Drosophila melanogaster: one gene and its partner. The protein of the gene in region 1 interacts with the protein of each later gene in a pairwise test. Each region holds a gene or a part of one and is shown in the gene's direction. Other genes may lie near its edges.

Region 1 (5,885 bases):
CAACAATTTAACTTTCATTGCTCAGGTTTTTAGTAACAATGTTTATATAAGTTTAGGTATAACAAATGATTTAAATATAAGATACTGTATTTCACATTGAGACGAAACAATCCACCGAAAATCATAAAATATAAGAATGTTGCATTTTATTTTTAAAAATAAAGATGCCTTTTAAGAGGAATAACTTAAATGTCTTTAATACCTTTGAATTTAATTATATGGCTAATAAACACAAACTTAAAGCTTAAAACTGCATCGAATTGAATGCGGTTATAAATGTACTTATATATCTAATATAATCTGCTAATATGGTTTACATGGTATATCTTTCTCGGAAATTTTTACAAAAATTATCTATTCATATATCTCGAGCGTAAGATATTTATCAGTTTATAGATAACATCTTTAAATTTGGGTGATTAAAAAAAAACATTGCTGCAGGGCATGTTTATGTACACATTTCAGTATAAGTCCCAAGTTAAAATGCAATGTAAAAACATATAAAGGATATTAACTTCAAACCCAAAGGATTGCAGAGAGATTGCAGCACAGCTGTAATCATCGCAACAAGGCAACCAAAACGAGACTCTCGTAGCGTTGGCATCATATTCGATCTTTGGAAGAGCTATGATTCAAGCCAAGGGAAACAACTGCCAAAAAATAGAAGATTGCGACGAGCGGAAAGCAGAGTGGTGCACCACGGTGCATAGGTGCATAGGAGGTTGGTTGTCTAGAGATCTGGGCACGATGGCGAGACAAAGATGCGGCGCAAAATCGGAAATGGAGATGGATCACGTAGCCGGCCATGGCGGGCAGCGATTATAGGCGCTATAAAGAGCCGGAGTCATCGCCAGACAGCGAGCAGTAGACGATCCACACGTAAACGGCAACATGCAACTCGGTCTCTGGTTTGGCATTTTGGCCATCGCCGCCACGCCGGTTAGTAGCTTTTATCCATGGCATTCGCATTGGGCATCCCGCTAATCTCGCAAACTCTCTCTCTCTCTCTCTTACCTCCTCCTCATTAGCTGGTGAGCGCTAACTATGGTCCCGCTGGCGGACACGGACACGGACATGGACATGGACAGTACCTGTCCGGTCCCAATGCCGGACTCGAGGAGTACGTGAATGTGGCGTCTGGTGGCAACCAGCAGGCTGCCAATCAGATCGCCTCACAGGCCGAGATCCAGCCCACGCCGGAGGAGGCCCGTCGTTTGGGTCGCGTCCAGGCCCAACTTCAGGCCCTCAATGCCGATCCCAACTACCAGAAGCTGAAGAACTCCGAGGATATTGCCGAATCTCTGGCCGAGACCAATCTGGCCAGCAATATCCGTCAGGGCAAGATCAAGGTGGTGTCGCCACAGTTCGTTGACCAGCATCTGTTCCGCTCCCTGTTGGTGCCATCGGGCCACAACAATCACCAGGTGATCGCCACCCAGCCCCTGCCACCAATCATTGTCCACCAGCCTGGTGCACCACCAGCCCATGTGAACAGCGGCCCACCGACTGTGGTGCGCGGCAATCCGGTGATCTACAAGATCAAGCCCTCGGTCATCTACCAACAGGAGGTGATCAACAAGGTGCCCACTCCGCTGAGCCTCAACCCCGTCTACGTGAAGGTCTACAAGCCCGGCAAGAAGATCGAGGCTCCACTGGCCCCGGTGGTTGCACCCGTCTACAGCCAGCCCAGGGAGTACAGCCAGCCCCAGGGTTATGGTAGTGCCGGAGCTGCTTCCTCCGCCGCCGGTGCCGCCTCCTCTGCCGATGGCAATGCCTACGGCAACGAGGCTCCACTGTACAACAGCCCCGCGCCCTATGGCCAGCCCAACTACTAAGGTGCTCATCCTGGGCATGGGTTGCTCCTCAGCTGCGACAGCTGGTTTAATTTAAATTTTTGTTTTTTTTTTTCTTTGCCGAACTACTGAGCGCAAATAAATGAAAAAAAAATACTTGAAACGTAAACGTTTTGTCATCAATTATTTTCGACCGGAAGGGGCTACCTGAGTGGCAATGAAGCACACAGATTAAGCACATATTTATGAATATATAAATATATACGAATGCATGAGAGAACAAAAAATTATATCTAGTTTTCTTCAAAAATAAATAATAAAGGGGAAAATGGTATAAAGTATGAACATAAAATTATGAACGAGTATAAATAAGTTTGTAATTGAAATCTCTACGGTCATACAAGTATTTTAACTATTCTATAAATATGCATAAACATGGTACGCATTTTATGAGATACAATTCGAAAGATATTGGATAGCATTATCATGCATGAAATTATTTCACACTCTTGTGATGGTAGCTATCTTATTCCAGTTATCGTTTAATTGCAAAGAATGGGATCAAAAGGTCATCTTTATCAACATATTGTTGATTCCGGAATGAATAATAAATAATAACATAACTATGAATTAATGGAGCAACTATAATTTTACGGCCTCTTTTCTTTTAAACAAAGAATATAGCACTTTTAATGCATTAAATACGTATTTAAACCTTTTCTTTTGAAACGCCAAATTCATATTAGAGTTTCATAAGATTGTTTTAAAACATAACAACATAATAATTGAAGAATTGGAAATCTTTTTAGGTGTTTGTAAGCCTTTGAATTCCTAATTGGAATAGCTAAAGATCCATATTTCATCTTCAAATCTCTTTGCAACTAGAGATTTATTTTATCTGGCAATTATTAAGTATACATTTTTATATGGTACTTTAAACTGATGGTTTAATCAGTTACATGGATTTTCTAAATTAAAAATGGTCATGTGAAGATAGCCACTCTTCTAACAATCTAATCACATTTATAGTAAGAAATACAATACAATACAATACAATACAATACAATACAATACAATACAATAGAAAGACAATCGAATCTGCGCAATCCGTGTGAAATTCAAGGACTACAGCTGGGTGGCTAATCATTTCCCCCTATCCACTTACACCTCGGATTACCTCTTATTCCGACTCCCGGAGTCTTGTGTCTGCCAATGCGGAACTATTTTCGCTATCTGAACAGACGTTCGGACCTCGATATGCGGCAAAGATTCACAGCCCGGCTGTTGATTCCGATTCGGTGGCAATGTGTTCGTTGTTATTGTAAAACGGGCAATGGCAACTGGGCAGTGGGCAGTGGGGTTTTCGGGTTGTGGCTTCTACGTAAGTGGAAGAGACGCCGTGATATGCGCTGGCAGCGATGCGTGCGATCTATCAACATTTGGCCATGTTTCGTTCGCATCGCGTGGGCCCGGAGCGGAACAGCCGGCACCGGAGTTGGCATCAATCCAAATGTCACGTACCCGGAGCCGGAGACGCGTCCGGAGCATATTTAAAGTAGTCGGCCACCAATGGAGGGCAGCAGAAGACAGCAGACAGTCCAAGCGGGAGCACACCAGAAGCCGAAGAGCAACTGGAACTGCAACTGGGAGACAAGATGACGAGATCGACCTACATTTGGGCGCTGGCCGCCTGCCTGATCGTAAGTGTTCAAGCTCGAAATCTTAGGATTAATCCCAAGAAAACCAAGTCTATCAATTCTGACTGCTTTCGTTTGTGCCATGTAAATCGTACATGAAAAGCAAATTGACTTTCCTTTAAATTACTTGAAACGGAATCAAGCTATCTATCGATGCTAGACTTATTTTAAGTATATGTATATGTCGATCCAATTCTAATCCACCCCCCCCCCCTCAATTTACTTTTAGGCCTGTGCAAGCGCCAACTACGGCAGTTCCCAGGGCTATGGACCCGAGTCCGGAAGCGGTGCCTCCGATGGCGGTGCTGATGCCGCTTCAGCGGCCGCAGCAGCTGCCGGCGGTGCCGGTGGAGCTGGTGGCGAGTACGGTGGTGCTAACGCCGGTGCTGGTGCTCTCGAATCCGGAGCCGATGCCGCCGGTGTGGCACAGGCTGGCCAGAGCAGCTACGGATCCGACCAGAACATTCCGTACAAGCCGGTGAACACCAAGGGTAACACCCTGACCTCATCGATCACCTACCCGCAGAACAAGGGCGAGATCCTCATCCATCGTCCCGCTCCCATCATTGTCAAGCGTCCGCCCACCAAGGTGCTGGTGAACCATCCACCATTGGTGGTTAAGCCCGCTCCCGTGGTGCTCCACAAGCCCCCAGCAATCGTTCTCCGCAAGGTCTACGTCAAGCACCACCCACGTCGCGTCAAGGTTGAGCCCGTGTTCGTCAATGTGGTCAAGCCCCCAGCAGAGAAGTACTTTGTCAACGAGAACAAGCAGGGCTACGGACAGGGCTCGCAGTCCCACGGACACGGCCATGGACACGGTGGCCATGGACACGGACACAGCGGACACGGACACGGTGGACACGGTGCTGGACCCCATGGTCCTGGACCCCATGACGGTGGCCGTGCTCTGCCCGCCTACGCTTCGGGAGCTGATTCCGCTGCCGCCAGCGCTGGCTATCAGCTGCTCCAGAGCGGCAACCAGGGTCTGTCCGCTCTTGCCAACATCGCCGGCGAGCGTGAGGGTCCCTATGGTCCCGCTCCAAGCCATCAGCACTATAGCGCCGGTCCAGCCGGACATGGCGGCTATGCTGCTCCCGCCTATTAGGTAACAGATGCGGAGGAGTTACGGATTGGATGACTGCTGCGGCTCCGGAATCAACTGAAGCGGCTGGTTTAGTCATTCGCTTATCCGGCTGATTAGTTACTATGTTTTTTTTACAAAAAAAAAAAAAAAAAACAGCCTGATCGACCAACGCCCATGCCTACGCCCACGCCCACTCATGCACACCCCAATACCACCCACTCACCCATTCAACGGCCCAGGAGGGGCGTGGCACTCAGGTTTCTTTGCAAAACAAATAAAAAATTTGAACAAAAAAAAAAAAACAATTATACCCAAGCTGAATGTTGTTTTCGATGAAGGGTGAAATCTAGATGCTAGTTATATTTAAATTAAACTATCATTAGATATATACTCTAATTGATAGTTATTGATAGTCTTGCGACTCATTTTAAACTTGATACACTTATAGCATAGACAGTGAGTAATATCATTGATATTATTATATAATTATTGTTACACAAAGTGCATATGATGAGAATCGATTTAATGATGGGAGAACTGACTTACCCGCAACTTTATTCGCAGCAACAAGTGTCGCATATAATAAATACAATAAATCCGAAACGCAGGCTGTCATTACACACATCGTTTGGTTGTCCTTCCCCATTGTTGTGCGTTATGCCAATGGCATCCCACGCAATTGTTCAATAACAAACGGGCGGCAAAATCGGCTATAATGATAGGTAAGGCAAAGAAGAGCTCGGCTGATGACAGGTGGAATCGCAATTTAGGTCGCCCAGTGCCGCCCATTTGGCAGTTTGAAAATTCAGCATAAAAATGCGATACCTTTGCACAGAGATTTCAGTCTGTAAGCAGAAATAAATTGAGAGCATTAATAAAATAACCAACTAAACAGAATTATTAAAGCGAGCCAAAACAAATCGGTTTCAAGTTCAAATATTTTTTTTTGCGAACACTTTTCGGTGATAAAAAAAAAAAAAACAAAACCAAATAACCAACAACAGAGGCGAAATGAGTCACTTATGCTTCCTTGTAATGGGTTTGTGTTTCGCAATAATCGCCTACTGTTCTGGACAAGTTAGTATTGTTTTAACAATGACTGATATGTTAACCATAGAATAACAACAAATAATACCTATAACAAATTTTGTCCAGGGTATCACAGAAAGTCCTTATAACCGAAATTGTTACAGAGACATATATTGCTTATTGGCCGATTCAAATTAAACAAACCATACAGGTACGTTGGTGAATTGAAATATTAAACTTATGTACAAAGATTTCTGTGATACCATCGTATTATTAGCTTCC
Region 2 (4,638 bases), 5.7 Mb from region 1:
CAAATTGAAGGGCTGCTTCAGCGGGAAGAACTTCTGGTCGGTCAGGTACGGCTTGGGGAAGTCGTACTCATAAACGGGCTCTTTGATCTCTGCGCGACAGATGACCAGCATTAGTATGAGCTACGGATTGCTGGTAGAACTATGTACGTTTCTACTTACTCAAGACATCGTGGTAGAACTGCGTCAATGACTCGTCCCAGTTGGTCTGATAGAAGGCCAGGCCAGCCGGCGTCAGTTGCTCCTGGTGCTGACGATAGAAGTCCAGGGTGCTGAAGGTGCGCTTCTCCAGATTACCGTAGTCGGCAGCAGCCAACTGATAAGAGCCGAGATCAAGGCGCGCCTGCTGTTTGTAGAGCACAAAGACCATGCGTTGGTAACCAACGCCGCGCGGCGGGAACGGCGGTAGATACTCGGCGAGAACCTGACCCTCGCTCACCTTGCCGTTGGGTATGTTGGCACTGGAAGAATAGGGATGAATTAGCATAGGATGATGCGTAACAAAACGAAACTTACATGAACCAATGCAGACACTCGGCAGTTCCATTTGTGTAGTGCGCATCGGGATTGCTGGCCACCAGGGTCCAGTAAGTGTCCTGGCCGGCGGCTTGTCCCGTAATGGGATCCACTAGGCCATCGAAATCGATCTGAGGCGCCTTGGCTGCCTCCGTCGGCTTGATAACGTTGCCATTGTAGACGGGTGCCAGGCTATCGCCGTCCAGTTGGTAGCTTATGTTGAGCGGCACGCGGGGCACAAAGTAGGCGCTGCCAAAGAGGTGCTCGAAGATGCCGTAGTGGTCCGCCACCAGGCGAAGATCATGCTGGCCCGTGGTCTTCACATAGGTGCGCTGCACCTTGTCCAAATCGATGATCACTGTGGATAGACAAATAAACAGCAATGAGCACATATACATCAATAGTCCCCAGGATCGCTACTCACGCTTGTTGCTCCGCGCCAGCTGCTCCAGCTGCTTGTCACTGCGCTGGGACTTCAGGTGCTCCAGTCGCTTCTTTAGCTGCGCCGAGCGCGACTCCTTCAGCTGCGGGAAGCCAATGTTGATGCGGGCCACCACCTCCGGATCCTCAACGTTCTCCTCTGCGGAAAGACATCGATGATACGCTGGTTTGTGGGCCGAAAAGTGATCCCGAGTGGTTACATCAACTTACCACGAATCCGCTGCTCCAGAGAACGGGCCACGCCGGGCGGCTTGCCGCGTATGGTGTGTCCTTGCCGTGTGGCAGTCATCAGGACGGCGGCCTGCGCATCACGCACGGCCACAGTTAGGCCACTTTTCATTAACAAATTACTGAAAGACATGGTGTTTTGTAATTTGCCTTGCTTTTCAGGCGGCTCGCGTTTTTCTAGCGTTGCCGGATCGTCGACGAGGTGAAAGGTTGCCAGACTGTGAGCTTGTAGCGCTAAATGGTTTTGATGAGCTTTAAAACTATCGGAATTTAAAATTTTTTTAAAGTAGATAAGTAATTTGGAATAATTAAATAACTCATCGCTTGAATTTATCTTGGAGCAAAAAATCTCTTCATATTGAGCAGGTGAGCAAATGCTTATATCAGATGGTAACTTTTGTTTAGGCCCTGGTCAAAGTTTTTAAATATTATTTAATAGTTGGTCAAGTAACGAACACAAAATTGAATTTTAATGTTAACCATTAAGTAATTAAGGTACATTTTGACTGAGGTGTATAAAAAGAGATCTGTTGTCTTAAACAAAAAAGGATAAATTAGCAGCACTAACCAATGGACAGTTTTAAATTGAGCTTTTCTGGCAGTCCGCAAGTAACGGTACTGGTTTTCTCCAGTCGAACGAAGTGGAGCAACCCAAGTGAACTGAGAAACATGCTAGCGATGCACAGGTGGATCCTACTGCTGCTGGCCGGATTTCTAGCGACTGGTCGGGCGGAGGATCTGCTGGAGTTGTCCTGCAGCTCGGACGCACAGTGCGCCCAGTTTGAGCGCGGTCGCTGCGTGGACATGGCCTGCATCTGCACAGCACGTGGCTCCGGCGAACGGGTGCCGTGTACGCCGCTGGAGGAGCGCCTCAAGCTGACCAACATCATTGGTGGTGCCTGTCCATGTCCCATGCCGAATGCCATATGCCACACGCGATGGCAGCAGTGCCACTGCTCCGAGGGTCATGTGTCCAGTGACGACCGCAGACGCTGCCTGCCGGCGGTGGTCCCGGTGGGCGGAAGCTGTGAGTTTCAGCAACAGTGCCAGCGGGCGGATCGGTTTAGCTCCTGCATTGGCAACCAGTGCCTCTGCCTTAACCAATTCGAGTTCCACGAGGGACGTTGTCTTTCTGTTTTGCGTGAGTACACTGGCAGAAATAGCATAATTTACATGAAATTCCACCTCTGTATTTACCTTAGAATCAAGCTGTCTAGAGGACAAGGATTGCGGCAGCTGTGGAGCCTCGATTTGCCTGACAAAGACGAAGCGGTGCGGCTGCTCCAAAAACTTTGTGCACAACCACAACATGACCAAGTGCATCAAGGGCTCCGCTTACGGTGACACGTGCGAGCACAGTTCGCCGTGCAAGCTAAACCTGGGTGCCGATGGCAGGTGCCTGGATCACCTCTGCGTCTGCCGTTCGACCCACTACCCCAAAAGGGTAGCCAACGAGGTGGCCAAGGACGAAAACGACGATCTCGATGCGGTGAACAATCTGGAGCGGATCACTTGCGCACCCATCGTGCCGTTCGGGGCACTCTGTCGAAACGATAGCGAATGCCGGATGCAGCCCATGGACCAGGAGAATGCCACAGCATCCATTGGCCATCCCATGGTGTGCAATTGGGGCGAGTGCTCCTGCAGTAAGACCCATCGACTGGAGGACAACAAGTGCGTTTTTGTGGAGAACTCCGCAACGAATTATCAACTAAGAGGCTTTGTGGCCTTCCTTTGTATCCAGTTCACAATGATTCTTTATTAGGATGTAGCAAAAAAACTTGTTAAACTTAAATTAATACATTGAACACACGCTTCACACGGATATTTGTATCTGTATCTGCATCTGCTCAAAGGCCAATCCTGGCCGGCGTGCGTCGGGGCGTGGCATTGCCCGGTGTGGCGATCTCCTGCTTGGTGGCCAGCTGTTCCTCCCGTTCGGCGGCCTGCTGCTTGCGCTCCTCCATCTCGTGCTGCGCCTTCAGCATCTGCTCCTCCATCTCCTTGAGATGCTCGGCCGCCTGTTTCTTCTTCTCGCGCCCGCTGCGACCGGACTCCTTAACCGAAAAGAACATGGGACCCAATTCCGCCAGCCAGTAGCCATCGACAGCGGTGGCGCACTGCATATACTCCTTGGCGGTCATGATCAGCTCGTGATAGACGACATAGTCGGGCGTGGTGCCCAAGCCATACAGCGCGGACGTGGGATGCAGGTGGCATGGCATGCCAGTTCGCAGATTGACATACTCTCCGATACCCTTGAGCCTGGCCGCCTGGTAGAAGTATGCCGAGCAGATGCACTTCCTCACAATGTCCCAGTCGATGCCGCAGCTTATAACGCTCAGATTCTGTTGCGTCATGATGTCCTTAAGCTGCTGCCGCACCTCGCGCACCTTCCGCATCGCCTTGATGTGGATAAAATGTTCGTTGCACCAGGTCGAACTGTAACTGTGGGCGAAAGCAACGAGTTGTTCATTTCTGGCGGAGATTTGCCGCAATTGTAGGACTTACTTGTTCTGGCGCCACTGCTGATAAACGTTGAGGTAGGTCAGGTGATCGGACTCGGGCCTTTGGAACTTTTCGCGCACACCATCCGCCTCATCCTCGCGGCCCTTTGGCCGGTAGAAGATCGATGGCACGGACAACATGGAAACTATGATCAGCACCTCGGCACTGCAGCCCATGCGGCAGGCCACGATTAGCATCTGGCACTGGGGCGGATCCAACGGGAATTCGGCCATCTGGCGACCCAGTGTGGTCAGCGCACCAGTGTGGTCCAGTGCTCCCAGGATCCACAACTGGTACAGCGAGTTAAGAATGTTATCCTGCGGCGGTGGATCCATAAAGTGGAATTGCAGCAGATCGACGACGCCCAGTGACTTGAGCAACAGCACCGTATTGGCCAGATTGGTCCGCTGAATCTCGGGCACGGTTAGGGCCAACAGCTCGTCCTTGTACTGGCGCTGCGTATACAAGCGGTACGCCTGACCGGGTCCTGTGCGTCCGGCACGACCGCTGCGCTGATTGGCATTCGCCTGCGATATGGGATAGATCTGCAGGGCGTCCATGCCGATGCGCGGATTGTAGACCTTCAGTTTGCAGTAGCCGGAATCGATAACGTAGATGATGCCGTCGACGGTTAGCGATGTTTCCGCTATGTTCGTGGCCACCACACACTTGCGCAATCCATCGCTGGATTTCTGAAAGATCTTTGCTTGCAAATCGGACGGCAATTGCGAATAGATGGGCAGTATGCTTAGTGCCGGCGCATTATCGATCTCCGCCAGTCGCTCCTCGAGCACCTCGCACGTCACCTCGATGTCCTCCTGGCCGGGCATGAAGATGAGCATGTCGCCCTCGTTGGGCGTGAGGTGAACCTGCAACGCTTGCTTCACCGCCGATTCCACGTAATCCTCGCAGGTGTTCTTGCTGAACATCACGTCCACGGGAAAGGTG

Evidence for each region. Proteins that work in one complex are often made in the same cells at the same time.
Region 2: the proteins of Cp38 (region 1) and CG11674 interact in a two-hybrid assay, tested with the Drosophila melanogaster proteins (one large-scale study listed by BioGRID).

Annotation. Positions count from the first base shown.
Region 1 is NC_004354.4:8,478,466-8,484,350, forward strand, and holds Cp38 (chorion protein 38), read left to right. Parts: upstream 1-3,371; 5' UTR 3,372-3,448; coding exon 3,449-3,493; intron 3,494-3,719; coding exon 3,720-4,595; 3' UTR 4,596-4,846; downstream 4,847-5,885. Other genes in the region: Cp36 (chorion protein 36), read left to right, coding at 892-939, 1,029-1,835.
Region 2 is NC_004354.4:14,223,017-14,227,654, reverse strand, and holds CG11674 (uncharacterized protein), read left to right. Parts: upstream 1-1,775; 5' UTR 1,776-1,851; coding exon 1,852-2,323; intron 2,324-2,384; coding exon 2,385-2,947; 3' UTR 2,948-3,008; downstream 3,009-4,638. Other genes in the region: mRpL38 (mitochondrial ribosomal protein L38), read right to left, coding at 1-89, 160-458, 514-871, 938-1,093, 1,165-1,315; Prp16 (pre-mRNA processing factor 16), read right to left, coding at 3,033-3,630, 3,694-4,638.